Astyanax mexicanus: one gene and its partner. The protein of the gene in region 1 purifies or fractionates together with the protein of each later gene. This does not show direct contact. Links are inferred from orthologs where the notes say so. Each region holds a gene or a part of one and is shown on either strand. Other genes may lie near its edges. The genes, in order: bag5 and dnajb4.

Region 1 (10,854 bases):
GGTCAGGTTTTATGAGTACAGGTCGGGATCAGGCTCCTGTTTCATGTCTGTGCAGTCTTTTTGGACACACACCCTTGCATGCACACAATAGCAAAATGCTGCTCTCTAGTGGTAAGAAATAACATGACAATTTCACCTTGCTAAACGTGACATTCTGATGCTTCCAGAATTCATGGTTCCAATCCTCTGTTTCCTGTCTCAGATGCCTCAGTCTCCTCTCCAGCTGGGTCTCATTCTCTGGGATGTGATAAATGATGGGCCGTAAATTTGACAGTCTGTCTGGTGGCCCGATCCAGTCATACTTCGAGGTGGGGCCTGGTTTGAATTTGATGTTCTTAATAAAATTAGATACAAAAAAAAGAACGTTTAGACAGTGGATATAAAATACCTAAATATACTGGCCCACAATAACCAAATTTTCAAATTCATTTAATAGTATATACACGCTGCAGCCTGATAAGAAATAATACTAGAGTGGGATAGTTTGGGTAACTCAGACACCATTTCAAATTAAAGATGCAGTAGATGCTTTTTCACAAGTAATTAGATACACTGAAGAAGTCCACAAAAGAAGGCATGGGAATGGGTGTTCAAGTCCTTTAAATACTTTAAAACAGCACTTGTTTGCAACTGGCATTAAAGTCACAAAAATGCATTTTTAAAACCACAAATTATTAAGGCCTGGTTTGAAAGTGAGATGCCTGCACATCAGTTAAATGTAGCTAAAATCAAGTACTAACTTATTGTAAATAGTAAAGTACATAGAAAATGAATGCCAAAGGTGATAAAGTTAAACACAGCATGTTGGGGTGTAATGTTTTACTCACAATCATTATTATAAAGGGTCAGGTAATACAAATTTCAAAGCGTTATGAATATTATGACTTTTCAAACCTTGTTGTTAAAGTACTTACATAAGCATTTACAATTTTAAACCTTAATCTTAAGATGCGATATCTACCAAAAGTTCTGTTATAACTACTAACTTTGCAGGAAGTGAAAACATTTGCTTTGTGATCTTTTTCTTTCCTATAAAAATACAAATAAAGTAATCTTGCCTAAAATGTGTCACCATTACCTTTGATTTTTTTTTATTTGGTCATTTGATTTGGGGTGCCCAACCTTTGCCCCTGTTTATAGAACAATGTCAATTGAAATAATAATTTGAATGATAATATGTTTTACACATGGTAACCATAAAAATATTGTGCAAAGCTGGAGCCACTTAAAATGTAAACAAAAACAGAATGCAATCTCATAGACCCACATTTTTGGGAGAGCAGTTGTGGGAAATGTCCGATTTTTGTCTGGTGGAGAATTCTTGATTTTTTGTTTTAAAATATACCAAATGTTTTCTATTGGTGAAGTGTCTGGACAGCAGATCTAAGAGCCTTTTCTTCTATGAAGCATGCTGTTGTGACTTTGTAGAGATGTAGGCTTTTGAACTGTGTGCTGATATATCAACCTGGATGGTCCCTAAACTCTTGAGTCCGCAGGACATGACATCCTTGGTTTTCAAAAAAAAAAAAAAAAAAAAAGATTTTGATTTATCTGATGACAGAGCAGCTTTTAATTTGGCCCAGAATAGATGGTGACATTTTTGAATGGTGTCTCTTTTTTTGCATGATTCAGTTTGTGTTTACAGACAGTGATTACTGTAAAGCGTTTCTGAGCCCATGTAGTTTTTTCTAGTTTGGAATCACGCCTGTTGTTTTGCTTTTTTAAGGGTGCAAAGATCATGAGCATCTAAACCTTAACGTCTGCCTTGTTCCTTGCACACATGGAGTTCTCCAGATTCTCTAAATCTTTTGATGATATTATGTAGATGGTGGGATATCCAAAGTCAGTTTTAGCAAAATATTCAGCCTGGCCTGAAATAGTCTTGTTGTTCCCCTGTCATGTGAGTTACTTGCGAATAACTAACTCATCTAGCTTGTTTTTTTCCAGTCTTCTGTTGCCCAAATCTCAAGTTCAAATTCCTCGTTTCTCACTGTCAACATCTTATATATTATGTGCTCTATTGGGAATAAAATGTGGGTCTATGAAGTTTGCACATCACTGCGTTCAGTTCTATTAACTTTAATAATTTTTTAATTTTTTATTTTTTCTATTAACTTTAATTTTACACAGCATCCAATTTTTTTTTGGAACGGTGGTTGTAGGTTTAATTTTTATTTGTATAGTTACTTATTTACCATTTGAGCATATTCATAATGTATGAGAACAGATTGTTTAAAGGTTCATTATATTTTAGCGCAAGATATGCTCAGGTGATGGTACTATAACAAAGAGGATAAGATATAAACAAACATAAACAAACATAAACAAAATGTCCCTTAACATTTATGTTTTTGTCTTTAATGCTGCCTGGGGCTGAAGGATATGGCAAAAATCTATATCACAATACATTTCTTAATTTTCATAGGGTTCAATTCTATCATCAATATTAACAATATAAAAGCCACCACCTTAATCTAGGTGATCATGCACTGATTAAGATATTGTAAGAAAATTAATATAAGAGTATTTAAAAACATTTTTTATAATACATAGTATTTATAATATTTTGACACTCAGACAAAATGCATCAGCAGAGGCAGAATCTGCTATTTAAATGCTACACTGTACATTGATTATTTTTAATGTTTGCTGCACATCAACCAGCTAAACAGAATCCGGAAATTTCGACAAATGTCGACACGATACAATATAGATATATTGTCCAGCTCTAAAGTTGCCTGACAATATTAACAGACGTAAAAGCTGCTGACAGGGGATCATGTTAGCTCGACAGATACACACCTCTGCTAGCTCATCCTGTGGCTGGCCCGCGCAGTGGTGCCTTATCTTTAGGACACCAGAAGCATAACGCTGAGACCTGAAAAACAAACTGCCCACAGCTCGTGTATTCATTTTTAGTTAATCCTATTCCATATCTACTAAATATCCGTCTATTATCAGACCTTACACACACAGGGTGACCTTAGCTACACACTACTCTCGTGTCGGCACAGCAGAGCGCGCAGCCACAATATGAGGGGAGAAAAAAGGTACATTACCCAACTTTCAAAGTAAAAGTCACCCCAAATTCGTAGCTCACTGCGCCAGTGATATATACATCCAAGAAATAAAAATAATAATAATAAAAAAATAAACCTCATGTAAGCAAATATGTTTTTGGTTAAACCTCACAATACTTAAAAGTAGATACACCCCCACATTTTACACTACTTCTTTAAAAGCTGAAGATGATGAATTTATCACTCTAGTGTTCATTTACCATCACCTAATGTTTACTTATTTATTTACATTTTATTTCCAATAATTTTGTTTAATTGTATTCAGTGAACGTTTACACAATTATTTTTTGCCTAAAAATGTCCGCTTTTATGTATTTACGTAATGTTTTTTAGCACAATTATATATTAATAATTTCACTTTAAAAATAACAATATTATATGTATTATATATGGTATTATTAATAATAATAATAATAATAATAATAATAATAATAATAATAATAATAATAATAATAAATGTATTATTCTGTCTCTCAATTAAAGACTTTTTTTTTATTTGTGCCCGACTTCACACTTCATCTCCGGGAGGAGGTTCCGCTCTTTTCCTGTTGTGATTGAACTGGACGACCGAGACGTTTCACTGAATTTAAAATACGATAACTCTTAACACCTGAACATATTAAGTCTCCATATTGTAAAAATATAAATGTATATATTATTACCACCACGTTAGGAAGCTAAAAGACTGTAGTGACCAAACAGTGGAGTAGCTATAGACTTTTAGTTAGCTAGCTAGCTACCCAAGGTTGTATTGAAGTCTGAGAGAAATCAACAATTAAAAAAAAAGTAAAAACGAGACATAAAATCAGAAGATATAAATGTCTAATTGTCGTTAAACAGTGGAATACATTCTGAATACAGCGATGGACTAAACTCGGGCTCGCTGTCTGTTAGCTACAGCGCTATCTTCTATCCGGGTGTTTTTGTCCCCGCTGGTCATTGGTGGGAGTTAGCCGGCTGGTCCCGTTGGGCTTGTTTCTCTCACACACTGATGTCCCGATGGCTGTGCGCTGGTTATGCAGGTGGGTAGTTTGCTAAAGCTGAATTATTGAGATGTAACGTTAGTTATTAAGTGAGGGGTCTGTTGTTTACAGGACTGGCTGGTTTTATACACAGGCTGGTCTGTAGCTTGTTGTGTGCTAATTTGAGCTCCTCATCGCCTAACCTTGTTCTTGTTGTGTGTATCAGGGAGAGAGAGACACACAAAGGATTGAGCATCTCTCAGTCCAAGCGGATTATTTTATATAAGGTCGAGGCTACCGTTAGCTAGCTAGTCCTTCAAGCTAGCTGCAGTAAACAGACAGATTTTTAATCCTATATTTATAGGTGTGGTTAACTGAGTAATGTAGGTTAACGTTTAGCTATCTTGGCTGTGTACTTGCATCAAGGTGTTCTGTCAAATACAGCTTCCCGAAGCTGTGTAATACTGGGCGGTTCTGCACATGCGCTGAAACACATTTGTTTACGTGTTTTTCGTGATAATTCTGTTTTACTAAGGCGGATTATACAATGTGAGTTTTCTGTTATTGTTTGTTTGAGAGTTTTAAAGTGTAACCAGAAGTCAAATAAAATCAACTTCTTATCACATCAATTAGCTGAGCTAGTTAGCTTAGGTTAGCTAACCCAGCTAACTACATTAAATTTAAACTGATAACAGTTATAACCTAGGATACAACACCTAGGTAAATAAATTAAATCTAATATAACACATGATACATAACCTATTAGTTAGATTAAATTTAAACTAATATAACCTAGCTCCATTACATTTTTAAACGGATAACCTAGGATATATAACCTAGCTACATTAAATTAAAACTGATATAAACTAGGATACATAACCTATTAGCTAACTTACATTACATTTAAATTATATAACCTAGGATAGGTAACCTAGCTACATTAAATGAAGTCTGATATAACCTAGGATACACAACCTATTAGCTACATTAAATTAAAACTGATATAACCTAGGATAGATAACCTAGCTACATTAAATTTAAGTTGATATAACCTAGGCTAGATAACCTAGCTACATAAAATGTAAACTGATATAACCTAGGATAGATAACCTAGCTAATGTTACATTACATTTAAACTGATATAACACATATGGCCCAAATCACTATAACTAGCTAGCTAACATAAGTAACGTTAACCCATCTATACATTTTTAGATGTAATGGTGTTTTTTTTAATCCGACCTACCAGCTGTATTATGTAACTAGCTAGCTAGGCAGCTTTACCTTGAGATAGATATACACACCATGGTAACTAACCCAGTTAGGTTAGCTAAAATGCTTTGACAAGATATCTATAGCTAACTAGCTAGCACTCAGACCTAAAGCTAGTGACTGACATTCATGTGTATAAAAGATTAAACCATCTAACCAAGGTAAATAGTCTTCTGGAAGAACCAGATTATGATGTTTTGAAGACCAAAAAGGGCGGGGCTTTAGAGGGCTGGAAACTGGTGGTATCTTGTTCTGAAGTGTGTCACGTTTTGAGGGCAATAGCGTGAGTTATATTAATATATAGTCGTGTCTACTGTAGATACATCTGTATGTGTGTGTGTGTGTGTGTGTGTGTGTGTGTGTGTGTGTGTGTGTGTGTGTGTGTGGAGTGTGTAATATCCCAGCAGCTCCAGCAGCAGCAGCTCCCTCCTGCTCTCTGAATTGGTTCCCCCGGTCTGTCTATCTGCGCCTGGGCTGCGTGGGGTGGGATGGGATGGGAGGGGCGCCAATGCAGCTTAGCTCGACTAAACGCAAATCTACAGCCTAAAAAGCCCCCGAATACAGAGCCGCTGCACTGTACACACTCAGCGTGCCATCGATCGCTGAAGTACTGAAGTCTCTCAAGGCGTCCAGCAGTTTAGCAGCACGGCTTATGGAAACGAGCCTCTTCAGACATAATGTGCGCGAACGTCTTCGGCGTGTTGAAGAGGTGAGAAATAGGCTTTTCTGCGCAAGGAGGAGGTGGTGGTGGAGAGGAGGTAATGCTGGTGTTGGTGTGTGGAGCCACGGACTCGAGCGCTCGTGCTTATAATTTCTCGTTTTATTGCCTATTACCGGCAAAACGTGGCGTTTCTGCTAGCTGTAATAAATGAGCGTGCGCTATGCTCAGGGCTGGCTCTTTTGGTGGGCGTAGGTAGTTGGGTAGGTATGTAGCTCGCTGGCTAACAGTGCTGAGGTGCATGAATGCGGATCAGCCTCTCTGTCTTTCTCCACGTGTGAACCAAAAAGATAAGGAAGACGTTATGCAAATAGTGGCCTGAAGTGCTGACAGTATTTTAATTCTCTCAACTAGGTGGCTAGTTAACTAGCCTTTTCTTTATCAACATCTGAGTTACTGACCTAGTCTTCCCCATCCTCATGCATCTGTTAGCTAACGAGCTAGGTTAGATGGACTGTTCCAGAAAGGGGGATCCTTTACATTACCTCAGCTAGAGACAGGGTGAAATCATTGACACACAGCCACACTGGCAGTAAATGGTCACCAAAGATGTTCGTTCACAGACCCTTAATGTCACAGTTTCAGACACTTTAATTGGCTTGTGTACCAGATGTTCACCACATTCTCAGCAGATTCCCCAGATGTTTGGTCCTGATGTATCCAGCATCATGTTCTTTCCTGCGCTGACTAATAGGTTTAGGCATGGATGGCATTTGGGCGCCCTCGCCCCACCCTAACCCATAATCCAGAGCTTTCGTGTTGTGCCCAGGCTCACTAGGGACTTCATAATCAGAATCCTGGAGCAGACCCATGACAGCAAGCGTAATCAGGGCATCTTCTACTAAACAAGTGAACGAGGACAGCTGTTTAGGCAGCAGCAGGTTGAGCAGCCGTTCCTGACCACATTCAGGTCCGGCACACACACTTAAAAATTGATGTTCTATTTCACACCTCAAATCAAATCTGGCTGAAGGTGTTGGTATGTGTCTTCACAGCTGCCATCTGTTTTCTTTCACATTCTCATGCAAATAGGTTAACCCCTTAAAATATTTGTCCTGTATATTGGCTACAGGTGTAGGTGATACAAAACCCTTTTTTCTGCAGTAAAATAAGTTATTCATATTCTGAAATCTCCTAAAGGACACTTGGAGAAGCTGCCTGTTCACCCTCTACTCCACTTAATAATTCCAGATTAGTAACAGGAATCAACCCAAATTCTGTAAAAACTGTACAAACATAACGAAAGGAAAGGACATTAACTATTTGATTGGTATTCAGGAAAATTAAGTTTAAAATTTAAAATACGATTTTAAAATTAAGTTCAAGGAAGATTTTCTGATTTTATTTATTATATTTTGACATCAGCAGATTTACTTAATTTTTTAAATATATTTTCTATTACAATTACAATTATGATTTTCAGTCATGTTCCTTATCAAACATTAAAGCTTTTTATTTAATGCTTGAATTAAAAATGTTAGTGTAATGTCAGGCAGACCATTGACAAAAATCCTGGCCTGTTAAGGTGTTAATAATGTAAAAGCACAGACAGCCATAAACAATGGCAAATATTCATAGCATTTATGGACACACAGAAGCTATTATAACTATAACAGCTAGCACATTCAAACAGAGCTACATCTACTGGACATCCCATAAAGGGATTTTAAAACAGTCGTGCTGTTTCAGGTTAGTTCAAGTCCACCGAAAATACCATGTAAGTAAATCCAGAGGTGAATGTATTTATGCCCCCACACAGTGAATGTTCGTGTGTATGTCTGCTTTATCCTTTTTCACGGTCACTGCCAAAAGCACAGCGAATGACCGTGGGATGAGCAGCATTCTTCCACATGAAGGAATTTCTCTTCACCTGGTTATATAAGCATATAAGACAAGTAGACTATTAACCCCTAAAGGGCCACTCCACTGAAAGAAAATATTCCCAGTTCTGCTGCATATCAAAAGAGAATGATTGAATTTGTGATTGAATCATATGGAGGTACATTACTTTTTAAATATTATGGTGTAAGGCAAATTCATGAGCAAACTTCCAAGTACCACCTACTGTGGCTAATGTGTGTGGTCTGTCCATATCTGTACCAGTAATTGGCCAATTGCATATTGTTGATGGTCAATGCAGTATGCCTGCTGATACAGCTCTGAGGAAATAGCAGGAGTGCGAGACAATGTAATGAACTACAGTGTCTACATGGCATCCTCGTGAACCCTAGGTTAATTAGACTGGAAATTATTGAGTTCCACAGGGTTCAACTGTAGGGCCCATGAAACCGATGTTAATAATTAATTAGTACTGTAGTTATGAGAGTAAAGAAAGACGTGTGGGCTTACACACAGGGTGTATCAATTTCAAAGTCCAAGTCCAAAATAATGAAAAATACAGATTAATTCTCTATAAATTTGTGTACAACCTTGGAATGCTTTGCCATACCACTGGTCGTACCACCAGAACCGCTGAAATATTGTATATTGTCACTGTTGTGCTGTTAACACTTGTATCTCCAAAACAGCAACCGTTTTAACAGAAGAAAGTGAAAAAAAACTTGTCAGTTTAAATTAGGTGATTTCAGGCATTTTATAGCATTTCTATTGGTCTGTTTCTCATATAAGTGTAATAAAAATTTGCCAGATTCAAATGTCAGAAGTGGTAATACAGGTGTTTTATGTTGCAGCTTACATATATTTATCTATTTCCACCATTCTAACATTCTAACAAACATTCTTCTACTACTAGCAATATGTAAGGACATGTCTTGTAGAAGATCAGGGTACAAACACATACTGTCACTTTAAGAGTCGAGAGCATGACCTGTCTGTTGTGACCTCACAAGCACATCTCTGTGGAATAGCCGCAGCCCTCCGTGGCCAATAAAATGTTTTCCAAGGACTCTAAAACTGCAGTGAGTGAGCAGACAAGACAGGTCTTGCTTGTGTGCTTTCTTTGTGTACTTGGATTTTGAGGGCATTTCATTTCTTACTGGATATCTCTGCTGCAGTTGGGCTTGTGAGTACTGCTGCTATGATATGTGTAATATGACATTGTGAATTCACTGCAGGCAACAAGCAGAATCACACAGTTATGGGGATATTTGGTCTTTGGTCAAAGGAAGTTCTTTCCACTTCCACAAGCTGAAATAGTCATGACTTTATTGAGGTAGGGCACTTGCTTCATTCTGCATGCATGTTGTGCTGAGAGTAATTAATGACCAGTGGTCCTGGTAAGGATGTTTTAACCCGACTGGTTCTGTCATACATGCGCCCACACTGTGCGATGGGTTCATTAATTTAACTTACGGCCAGAGCAGGCTGTGGATCAAAGCCTGGGTAGCTGTTGTGGTGCTGGAGCCAGGCACAGAGCCCTCTGATTTTTGTTCCGTAAATACCAGCTTTTAATTATTGGTCCAGTTGCAGCTCTTGTCAGACTGTTCTTTTTTTTTTTTTTTTACAAAGGTTGTTTAATTACACAGAATAAGAGTGGCTTCTTTTCAATAGATAATCTAGTATAGCATATGAGGCTTTATACGCTGGTTCTTATGCTTGCAATGGGTGGAGAGCCTGACAGTGTGGGAAAACAAGTTATGTTGGCATTGCTGATCAGAATCCAGATACACGCAACAAAGCTTTTATAACCGTGTCCTAATTATACCCCTTTAAATCCATGTTAAGGTTTGTTGTTGCTGTGGGATAAGATTTGGGGGGTGTTTTACAAAGCAAAATATTTCTAGCTTAAGACAACAGTTTTTTTTTTTTTATGATTTTTTTTTATTTTGTTTAATCCTGCACTTTGCTACATCTTGTGTCTTCACTTATGTACCCTGTGTCTCCCTATAGTTGAGACTGGTTTGTAGGAAGATGTCTGTCAAATCAGTGAGTTTTCTCTCCAAGGGGTTGAGCCGAATTCTTCTTTCCTGCCAGTGTATGACTCCCTTCGTGTGCAGAATGAGTGTAACAGGTTACCCTCATATTTATTTTACTTCTAGTTATAAACAAGGATTAATCTACAGTAACTATGAGAATCACATGCATAAGCAGTTGCTCCCATACTGCTGCGTGATGCTTAAGCACATTAAGGGTATTTCGGAATAGAACTGGTTCTTTTTTTCTTCGTCTGTTGTTCCAAGGATTGAAGATAGCCTGACCACTTCTATTGGTCATATCAAATTTTGGTCTGTTGGTGCAAATCATGGTTCACACAAACATCTTTCACACCTATTATTTTGGTTTAGACTAAATAAAAAACAGAAAACACCCAGAGAAAAGTTCTGCAAAAGTTTTTCTCTGTGTCCTACTATTACTCATCTTAACTTCCTATCCCAATAATTCTACCCCAATACCCCTAATTTCTACACTCACTCTCTCCTGTTCTTCTCCCTCTCAGCCTTTTTGGGAAGCCCTTTGATGGTGGGAAGAGGACAATGGATCATGGCAATCAGCAGCAGCAGCAGACTCAGCAGATGCCGGGGCCATTCCAGGCATTCGCCGGGCCCCAGGGCCCATATCCTGGGCAGCACCCCACCCTGGCGCGGATAGACGAGCTTCAAAGGGAGGTGGCCGCACTGGGTCCGCAAGTGTGTTCCTTCAGTGGCCTGCAGAGCGACAGAGATTACAAGCGGCTGGAACGAGAGCTGACAAGGCTTCAAATGGAGGTCGATCAGGTCAGGAGCCGAGATGGTAATGTTCATGGAGTAGGGGTGTGTAATGCATTGGTGTATGAAGAAATGGGAAGATAATCATTTGTATGGGTCCAGATTTGGAATAGCAGTCGATAATACATCAGTTGTTACTTCTACAGGTGTAGATATAA
Region 2 (10,854 bases), on another chromosome or scaffold:
TGGGGTGTAGCAGTGATTTGTCAATAAAGTTCAAGGACAGGTGGGGGAAAAAAAATAACAACAGTTTTCGGGACTTGAATGTCATTTCAGTCCGGTCCCTTTCTTTGATTTTACGAAGTGGGCAAGTGCCGTTTCAGGACGTCCTTGGCGTTAGTCGGCAGAGTGTCTGGAAAATTCACATCAAACTCCACTATGAGGTCTCCTCTTTGATCTGGGTTTTTAGGGAAGGGCAAACCCTGTCCAGCGATTGTCTTCCTCATGCCAGGTTTGATGACGTCAGTTATCTTTATGTTGCACGTTTTCCCATCTATCGTTGACACAGTAACGGAGCAGCCACACAACGACTGAAAAGAAAATGAAAAAATTATCAGTTGATTATTGACAAAGAAACACAAATTAAAAAGACTATCCTTAAGATATAGACGTGAAATAAACCCCACTTATCATTGCCTAAACACCAAAAACCAAATCTCTTATTGAACTGCACTAGTAGAAACAGCTGTAGGATTAGAGTACTGTCACACCAGCACTATTTGGTTTGGTTAAAACTGGTTCTGATTCTGGTTCGTTTGTTCCCTTAGTGTGGTTCATTTGAGCAGGTGTAAAAACAGTAATCACACTCGGGCGTGAATCAAAACCACCGGTTTAGTCACAAAGTCTGAAGCGGTTCTCTTGTGGTGAGAACTTGATCCAATCTCGATCCAACCCAGCTATTAAATATACTCCTTTTATTTAAGCTAAACTGCTGATAAGGCTTAGTTTAATCTGATATATTAGCCAAATAATGCTAATTACTGTGAACAAATGCTGTCTCTGCTGCTCCATGCTGTTTACGGTCTGTGTTGCGTTCACTGCTCGCAGCCGCACGACTCCAATTACTATGTATACATCTGTGCTGCACATCCCATTAAAAACACTATGTTTGAAAGTGTAGCAGCAAATTTTCAGCGTTTTGTGTTAAAGCCGCTTCACACTGCACAGATATACACACTGGAACACAGAATCTTCTCAATATATTTACTTTCTCGCTCCTGCTCCAGACAGCTCTGACCAATCAGAGGATAAGACGTGTTCCCTTAGTTTACAGGTGCACATTTTGGTGTGTTAAGTGTATGCCTGTGTGAAACCAAACCAAACAGAGGTACAAAGTCCAAATAAACAAATTTATGAACAGATCCAGACCATATAAACCAACTACAGGTGTAACAAAACGCCTTTAGTCTTAAAATTTACTTCAGAGAGAAATCGAATGAACAAGCCGGTGGATCGCTGTTATTCCTGTCTGGACTACAGAGTGTTGTACAATCTTGGGCAGCAGATTTCACATCTACTCTCAAGTCAGTGCACTTCTTATGTAATGTGAAGCATAAGCAGCGAGAGACGCATGTTAGATCAGCTGTTCGGTGGCTAAAGACAAGCATCCACCCCCTTAAATCTGTTCTTGGCTTACTAGTAGCTCCTTCTATGGCAGAATCAGTGGGAAGTGAAAGGCAGCGCTGTTGTGTTGTGCCTGGATTGTAAATGGCCTCAGTCAAATCGAGCCTGAGCTAACAAAAATAACAAAAATGCTTTCATTGACTTATGAAACCAACAACTTGATCAACAGCCAATGTACTATATGCTGTAGGCCTATAGTAGGAAGTGGTCTAGTCATTCTGTTACTGAATGAATCAGAAGTTTAAAAAATATTTAATATAGAGATTTAATGGAAGGCTCTAGCAGCTCCATTACAGGCTAAAAAATAGTCGCAACTAATCTGTAAATTATTTATTCCATTAGCCGATTAGCTCTTGCTCTTTTGCATGTTTGATGTTCTTTTGTGTGAATGTCACCCTGTTTCCCAGTCTCTAACACAAGTTCCCATAGCTAATTAAAATAGTGACACACCAAGCTGAGTGGGAACTAAGTGTGAACTGAGCAGCTCTAACTTGTCCCCCACTTTATTTCTGTTCCAAGCACTTTGTCAACAATATTTTATTATCACCATTGTCGATTATGTCGACCAATCGTTGCAGTTCTTTTGGCAAAAGAAACATGGAAAAAAACTAATCATTGCGGTTTCAGGCTTTCCTGTCCTTTATGATCAATCACCGCTGATTTACAGGGAATCAGCGTAATACAGCGTGGAGAAAAGCTGCAGAGAATGTTGGGTGGGTTTAGAAAATATTAACATATAGTTTAATTGAACAATATGAACCTATATGCTGCTCACTAGAAAGTGTTACGAAGCTCATTTGTACATTTATATTTATAAATATACATTTATATACTTATTCCTTGTATAAAACCAATTTGCATATATTAAAACAATTTAATTGGACAACGCAAGTCATTCAAAGTGTTTAAGATTTTTATGGTTGCCAATTTTTTCTGCTTTCAACCCATCAAATTCACTTGCTGCCCAGTACAGGAGCCACTGAAGTGTTTTAAAATTTATAGCTGATCTATGTGTCATAATAGTTAAAGACATAGTCATGCAACTTTTTTGGCCATCTATAATATATTATTTCCATTAATCTGAAGATATATTTATAGACACTGTTCATATATCAAGTTACAAAAAAGCGATCATGCCAGACCACTCAGTCAGTCTTCCTTTAGAAGCTTCACTCCCCAAATTCATGCATTGATACTGAAAAATTAACAACACTGGGCATGAAAAACAAAAGCAATAGGGCAAAATCCAGACTGTCTGCTGGCTGTGTAGAAATTTACAATAAGCCAATAAGTAGCTTGGGCAATGTTTTGATATCATAACTAATTTTTGACATTTATTTGCACTTTTGGGACCCCCACTCTTAAACTAAAGCCAGATCTGGACATCCTCACCTGCCGCAGACTGACGCGCACTGGGTAGACAATATCCGACCCCTCTCTCCTGAAGTGGGCGTGAGGCTTGTCCTTGATGACGAACACTATGTCAGCTGGGATGGTGTTGGGTGCTTCATCACCCTCTCGGGGGAATGTGATCTTTGTGCCTTCCTTCCAGCCACGCTTAATCTCGATGGTCAAGATCTTGTCCTCTGTCCTCATGGTGCGTCCATCTGGGTTCAGCCGCTTGCGTGAGATCTTCATTCGCTTGGTGCAGCCGTGAAAGACCTCCTCCAGGGACACTCTCAGCTCATGGTGAATGGCAGGGTCCTGCTTCCTGCTCCGCGGCTGCCCACCCAAGCCCACGGGCCGCTCGCCACGGGGGAAGCCGTTGATGTTAAAGCTGGTGAAGGAGCCGAACGGGTCGCTGCCGTCCACTTCCATGTCGTCGTCGTCCCTGCCGTTCACCTTCCTGCCGAAGAACATCTCGAACGGGTTGGCGCCGCCGAAGAAGGTGGCGAAAGTTGCGTGGGGGTCTCCATGAAAGGTGTAGGTGAAGTTGCTGCCTTGTCCATCAGTGGGGCCGCCACCACCTTTAAGACCTGGAAATCAGGAGATACATTGATTTTTTGGAAATTTCCACAGAACTAGATGGTTAGAATGTGAATTAATTATTTAATGTGGTTTGGTGTTCAACCCTTAAGAAAAGGTTTACTGTCTCAAAAGGTACATCAAATTACATCAGAATTTGCTATCTATTTTGCCGCCATCAACATTGCAAACGTTTACTGGTGAGTTTGTATGGTTAAAAAAAAAAAAAGTTCAATGGTCAGTACTGAAAAGTCCTATAGTGCTTTTACACCTAATTTTGAACCATTTACCACGTTTTAACCAACAAAAGAAGGTTCCTGAACCAGAATACTAGGTTCTTCATTGCAAATCGTGTTCATCGCCACTTTGCAACATCCTCTGTTTGTGACATTTTGATGATTCCACTAAAACTAGTGGAAACGCGTGCTGGTTCGCTGAAAAGCACCACAGTTCCTATAAGCCCAAACAGAGCTGGTTCAAGAACCAGAGTTCTTTTGGTGGAAAAGTGCTATGAGAGCTTCTCTACAATAAAAAACAAATCAATTACCCATCAAATCCACTATGAATTGTTTTAGATATCAATAACAGTATTACAGAAGATTGAATTCTGCTTTAAGCCAGCACCTTCAACCTGATTACACAAAAAGTGGAACTTGTGGCTCTATGTTCTGAGACATAAATTTGTTGATGCCCCCTTCCTGTCACTTCTAGAAGGCACATAACTGTTAAGCACACAGTGTACACCTCAAGATGGAGATTTTAGGACACTGTTTCATGCAATTGCTCCTCAGTGTCTCTGGAATCCCAACAAATAATGTAGTTATAGTTGCTTTCAGTGATAGATTTAGAAGGTAGTGAGGTACATCAATACTGATGGTACTGAATGTACCATTTCAGATATCTAGCTATTTGTCTTATACTGAGAGCACAAATAGCCCAAAATAAGCTATAATATGAAACATACTGTATATACATATATATAAGACAGGCTTTATAAAATAATTCTGAATAATTCTACACAGTATGTAGGCCATTCACTAGTCTGCATTCCTTCAGTGTTCTATTTGTATTCACCACTCATTACAGACTAATGGGTTGCAATTATGTCCTAAAACACTCAAGTAAGCGCTGTGCCAGATGTGATTTGACCACACAAACCATGACCACTATAGCTTGGGTTTATGACAACGTTTTTGTCCCAATATGGCTAATTATGTGGTCTCTTAGAGACGTGCTCACTGACGTTTTAGCAAAGGCAGGCTAGGAATGCTGCTACATTAGCTAAAATAGGGATAATCGTATATATTAAAGGTTTGGAAATGATTATATTAACGTTACATAGATATGGCACATTTTACTGCATCATGTCTTTTTAAGCTTGTTCTCTGTTCTAAGAAATTGAGAATCAGGGTGATGTCCCTTGTTTTAGGAATTTGTCTGTTCCACCTTAAATGTTGCAGCAGTTAAACACTGTTTTTAAATACTGTGGTCTGACAATGATGAAATGAAACATACATGCTATGATATGTTTGTATTGCCTCATGTCATCTCTGACAATATTAAAATCAGGGTGAATTTGGCTGTTTTAGGAATTAGGTCGTTCCACCTTAAGTGGTGCAGCAGCTTCGCCAGCTAATAAAGGCCTGACAGTAATTAAGTTATATTAAACTAATGCGGCACAAATAACATCGTTGTATCTTTACCTGCTCTGTAAATGTGAGAATCAGGGAGAATTTGGCTTGTTTTATGAATTTGGGTGTTGTATGAATTTGACAGTCTACCTTAAAAGGTGCAGCAGTTAAAACACTGGATTTTAATACTTAACCAGCTAATACATATCTGACAATGTTTATATAAATTAGATTATTGCACATTATACTTATTTATATCTGTATCTGCTTTCACAATACAAGAATCAGGGTGAATTTGACTGTTTTATTAATTTCTCCGTTCCACCTTAAAAGGTACAGCGGTTAAAACACGGGATTTTAATCCTTAACCAGCTAATAAAGGACTGACACTGTTTGTATGAAGCAGATATGGCATATTGTACTTATTTATATCTGTACCTGCTTTGAAAATACTAGAATCAGGGTGAAGTTGTCTTGTTTTATGATTTTTTAAGGATTTGCCAGTCCACCTTAAACGCCGCATCAATGCCAGCGGTTACTGCTGCACCGTTAAGGTGGAACGGAGAAGTTCGTAAAAGACAAGCTGGCGAGCGAATAAGAAGCCGGAGAGGGAGAGATGTGATGTCCTTACCTTCCTCTCCGTGTTGGTCGTATATCTCTCGTTTTTTCGGGTCGCTCAGCACCTCGTAAGCCTCGGCTATCTCCTTAAATTTCTCGCTGGCGTTGGGCGCCTTGTTTTTATCGGGGTGCCATTTCAGAGCCTGTTTTCTGTACGCCTTTTTAATGTCCTCTTCTGCGGCTCCTTTCGAGATCCCCAGTATTTTGTAATAGTCTTTTCCCATGTTTTCAGCCTCCTGAGAGAAGACTGAGGCAGACTGAGACGGTTATCCTTTGGAAAAATAGGAAATAACCAGCATATGAACGTGTCAGTTATCCGCTGGAAGAGGTGGAGATGGTGGATAAGTGGAGATAGATGAGTGATGGCACGACGAAGGCAGCTCGTCCGGCTATATGGAGGCGGTTACTCGATGCTCTGGCTCGTGTTTTACTCTGTTTTTCTGCCTCTCTCCTTGGTTCCCTCTTTAAATAGCCATTCCGCCCTCCCTCGGTCCAATACTGCACCCCTAGAAACCGTGGGCTCTTTCTAGAAAAGCTAACGCCGAGCGGCACGTCATCCCCTACGTCCACACTCTCAAATTAGTGAAGATAAATGTACCAATAAATCAAGCCAGGAAACTCATATTTAGGTTATTTTTAGGATTTGTTTTGTTACAAGAAAGTGGCACGAAGAAAGTATCGGCCTAATAGTGTCTTATGTCCATTTTAAAACCATTTAATTTGGTCTTTCAGCTGTTTATTTGATGACCAAACCTAAAGAACAGGCCCGTTGCAACAGGGCAAGCAAACTAAACAGTCGCCCTATAGGGCCCTGAGCTGGCCTGGGGACCCCAATGGCTGGTTATGAACCCTAAACCATATGTTTTCCATCAATAGCTGTAATGTATTCTTTTGAAGTAATAAAACCATACTTAAATTTTTTTATAAACATTTTCTAACCTACACACATCACATCATATGGCATCATTTCTGCTGTGAACAAACATTTCGGGTTCCGTTACCTACTTTTCTTGGTGGAAACACGGCAAACAGCTTCAAAATTTGGTTTGTGAACCAGAACGGTCCTGATTCCACATCGGAGGAAAAGCACTATCAGAGGCACACTGCTGCTGCTGCAGCTCAGCCAATCAACTCTTGCTTCTGCCCCACCTCTAAACCCATACATCAGCCACTGCCTTGCCTAAACTACCCCTGTCATTTCTTTTAGACTTTTTAAAATTTGAGCTGAGGGTGGAGTCAGAAAATATCAGGGGTTTTAAAGCTTCTTTAAATTCTGTAATGGCCAATGCAGGGAAGTACAACAAGTGTGAGGGGGCCACTTCCACTAGTTGCTAGCAGTAGCCATTCAGTCAGGTTTATGATTCCTGTAGCCGGCTTAATTAAATGAACTGCCCAAAACAATTCTCAGCTCTTATACTCTCCTGGGGTGAGAGTTGTTATCATTCACCTCCTCACCCCTCCAAAAACGTCTGTTTATTTTGATTAATTGGCCATTATCTTAACTAAAAAAGCTAATTTGTCTTCACTCTGAGGGGAAAATGCTCAGTCACAAGCTTTGGAAGAACACCTCTATCAGATTCTGAAGAAAATATGTCATAATAAAAAAATTAAATGTTCTCATAGAGCTGAACATCTGGTTTTGATCTTGATAACAAAACACAAGGACAGCTTTCCCACAAGTTTCATGCTGTAATGGTCTACTAACATTCACAATTATTAACACAATTTCTTAATAATGGAAAGAACATTAAAATAGTCATGCTGTTCAACAAGCTTGTGTATAGTGGTCATGCTGGTCAGCTAGTCTGCCTGGTCATACTGCTGGTTGACTAGCTAGGTCAGGTTGGTTAAGCTGGTAGACCAGTTAAAATTGACCCTTAAATTCAAAAATAAAAATTGCCCATTGTTGATCATGAGCTAATCTAAATAACATCACCAACAAACTTGTGTTTGCAACAAATTAATCTCCAAATATTTAGTATTTAATGTATCAAAAGTATAAATATTTCACTAGTCAGTTATAGGGCTATATGTATCTATACATGACATTTTTAAACATTGATTATCCAGTTCCAATAGCACCTATAACGAATGGATATATTGGGCAGCCAGTGAATAGTCAGTTATGCAATTTTTCACACGTGCCAAATAGTGACATGTAAACAACAGAGCCAGAACATCTCTAAAACATCATGACGGATTTCAGGAGGTGTTAGTGGTACACTTTTTGAAGTTTTATGTCTCCCCAGGCAGCTTACAACCCATCGAAAACTCCAAAAAACAGTGGTTTTAGCCTGCTAGCTAGCTAACCAACGCTGTGGACCTAGGGGGCTTCTTGGCTTTCTGCGTCACTTAGCCGGAAACAAAGCTGCCACAGATGTAGGCTACTACAGATCATTCCCTATAAATAGCAAGTTAGATATCTGTGATATTAAAAGACAGAATCCCCCCACCAGCCCACCCTTCAGGGACGGAAAGTCCACTGAACTATCAGCACTATTAATACCCCTAATGGTGCTAAATAGAGCCAGTCAGTCTTTTACAGAGCTGTTCTTGGTTTGATGCTGTGGGGCTGTGTGATCAGTGCAGGTACTGGGAATCTTGTTAAAGTTGAGGGTCTCATGGATTCCAGTCAGTATAAGCAGATTCTTCAGAAAAATGTTGAAGAATCAGTGAGAAAGTTGAAGTTGAAGTTAAAGCGAAGAGCCGGGCCTGGATCCTTCAACAAGACAACGACCCTGAACACTAAACACACTGCTCAAAATCTACTAAAGCATTCATGCAGAGGAACAAGTACAATGAACTGGAGATGTTTTGAATGTTTTGTAAAGAAGAATGATCCAAAATACCTTAAACCAGAAGCCAGACTCTCATTGGAAGCTATAGGAAGCTTTTAAAGGCTGTTATATTTCTTCAAAAGGAGGATCTACTAAATATTGTAAAATATGTCACTTTTCTGTCTGGGTTCCCTAAATTATGTGCCTGCCTAATTTTGTTTAAATAATTAATAATCCTATAAACTTCATTTGAATTATCGAAATACATCACTGTGTTCATCTGCTGTATGATATATTTAACTGAAATTGCTGATCCTAACAACCAATGATTTATAAAGGAAAATCATAAAAAAGGATCAGGGGTGCCCAAACTTTTTTTAATACCACTGTACTTCCCTGCATTGACAGCTAATTGAAAGCTAATTTAAAGTTTATCTTAGCAGTAAATTCATTGGCTGGTGGGCCCCAGGCTTGCTCGGGTCACAAGCCAATTGGTTGGTTTGGTTTTCTTGTTGCAACAGGCCTGGGACATTAATTTAATAATGATATGTTTATGGGCACATATTTGGAATAGTGTTGCTTTACATGATCTATTCAGTGGGACTCTTCAGTAGGTGGAGCTGATAAAGTAAAAGTGAGTATAGGGTAGGTGTTTTTAAAGTGTATGGTGAGTCATTTTACAAGTCTCCTCCTGCCTCCTCTTAAATCTGAATTATTTACTGTCAGCATATTTATATTGATCAGCAGTTGCCTGATCTTAAAGCATTAGATTCTCATATAGGTAAAATAGTGTTTTGCTTTAACAATAATAGATCTACAAGAATCTATAAGAATCTTTTGTACTTTGTAAGCTTGATCACTATTATTTAAATAATAAAAAAAAAAATAATTAATGCAACATAAACTTACATACATTTTATTAGACTATTATAAGCTTTTTTATAAGATTTTTGGCGGCGCCTGCTGGTCAATAAGCGGAACTGCAGGAACTCCAGTGGGTGAAATCTCCCATGACTCAGCGTTTTACCTGCAGAGGCAGACAGCATCCAGCCATCCTGCTGATTATAGAAAAGAGACAAAAAAAAACTGGATTATGAAACTAATTATTCAAGAGTTTAATAAAGAGAAAGACAAAAGACAGACAACGTTTTATTTCTGCAATGCAAACCTGTTTAGTTTGCAGTCAGAATTTCGTTTTTTCATATTTTATTGGTATTAAAACAACACAAAATTTCTTAATAAAAAAAAAAAACATTTTCTTGGTTTGTTTAGCAATTTTTTGTTTCATAAATAACTTCTTTAATTATTAATAGCTTTAATATAGTTTTTTAGTATTACATTTAAATAGTAAAAAATCATAAAATAGGAAATTAGAAGAATGAGAATGAGAAGAGTTGTGTCCAAACTTTTGATTGGTAATGTATATGTGTATGTATAAGCACAAATCTAGTCATATCGAATATAATGAATATATTTTAAATATTACACTATACATACCTTATTTATAAAACACAACATTTACATAGTTTATTGTTACTCAATCCAGTTTATTAATTCAATATGTTAACTAAATAAACCAGGTCATTAATTATAAACTACACTGATTTATAAAGCTGAATGTCTCTTTCTATAATCATGTAATCCTGTGTACTGTTCCTTTTAGTTAAAGGGATGAATGGAGGCTCACGTGGGTCTGGTGCTGATGCTGGTGCTGATGCTGATGCTGCAGCTCTGTTAGCAGACTGTAGCTGTAGCTGTGAGTGTGGATCAGTGGATCAGGAGGTGATGGAGCAGTTTGAGAGCTTGTTCTGTAAGCTGGACCGGAACAGGGATGGGTTTATCTCGGTGGAGGAGCTGCAGGAGGAGATGAGGAGGGTTGGGGTGGTGTGTGGTGAAGAGAAAGCCCGGGTGAGTCTCTCTTACAGGCTAACATCCTCCTACACACACACACACACACACACACCACCAACAACAACAACAGCCTGACCTGCATCCAGATATACACAATACTGTATCGTACTATAATGCACAATACTATATTGCACTATACTGTACTTTATTATACTGTACACAACTGTACTACACTGTACTTTATGCTTTATACTATATTCTTTCTATGGATATACATATATACTATACTATACTATAAACAATACTATATACTGTACTATATATACTAGATGATATCACAGTTATCAAAATTATTGAGGTCATGTCTGTTTATTGTATGATAAGTCAGTAATGCAATTATGTTGAAAGACTATACTATAGCTTATTACTATAGCTTGTATAGCTGTTATATTTTACCTTTCAGTATTTCTAACCTCATTTCCTTCTTCCCCTCCTTCACTTCTCTATCCCTTTATTTCCCTTCGACCTCCTTTAAGCCCTATCTAAAAATGGTTTATCTTAATTCCTATTACTTG

The links.
Region 2: the proteins of bag5 (region 1) and dnajb4 purify together in Homo sapiens (affinity purification with mass spectrometry; 4 studies listed by BioGRID and IntAct, with this or other methods). This does not show direct contact. The link is inferred for Astyanax mexicanus from reciprocal best matches to the Homo sapiens genes BAG5 and DNAJB4.

The regions. Positions count from the first base shown.
Region 1 is NC_064414.1:30,074,917-30,085,770, forward strand, and holds the start of bag5 (BAG family molecular chaperone regulator 5), read left to right. Parts: upstream 1-5,653; 5' UTR 5,654-5,991; coding exon 5,992-6,023; intron 6,024-9,874; exon of another isoform or gene 9,875-10,002; intron 10,003-10,428; coding exon 10,429-10,705; intron 10,706-10,854. Other genes in the region: cytochrome c oxidase assembly factor 8, read right to left, coding at 137-334, 2,803-2,913. UniProt on the Homo sapiens protein: Co-chaperone for HSP/HSP70 proteins. It functions as a nucleotide-exchange factor promoting the release of ADP from HSP70, thereby activating HSP70-mediated protein refolding.
Region 2 is NC_064415.1:56,249,393-56,260,246, reverse strand, and holds the start of dnajb4 (dnaJ homolog subfamily B member 4), read right to left. Parts: upstream 6,139-10,854; 5' UTR 5,876-6,138; coding exon 5,665-5,875; intron 3,414-5,664; coding exon 2,830-3,413; intron 345-2,829; coding exon 111-344; 3' UTR 1-110. Other genes in the region: slc25a24l (solute carrier family 25 member 24, like), read left to right, coding at 10,100-10,336. UniProt on the Homo sapiens protein: Probable chaperone. Stimulates ATP hydrolysis and the folding of unfolded proteins mediated by HSPA1A/B (in vitro).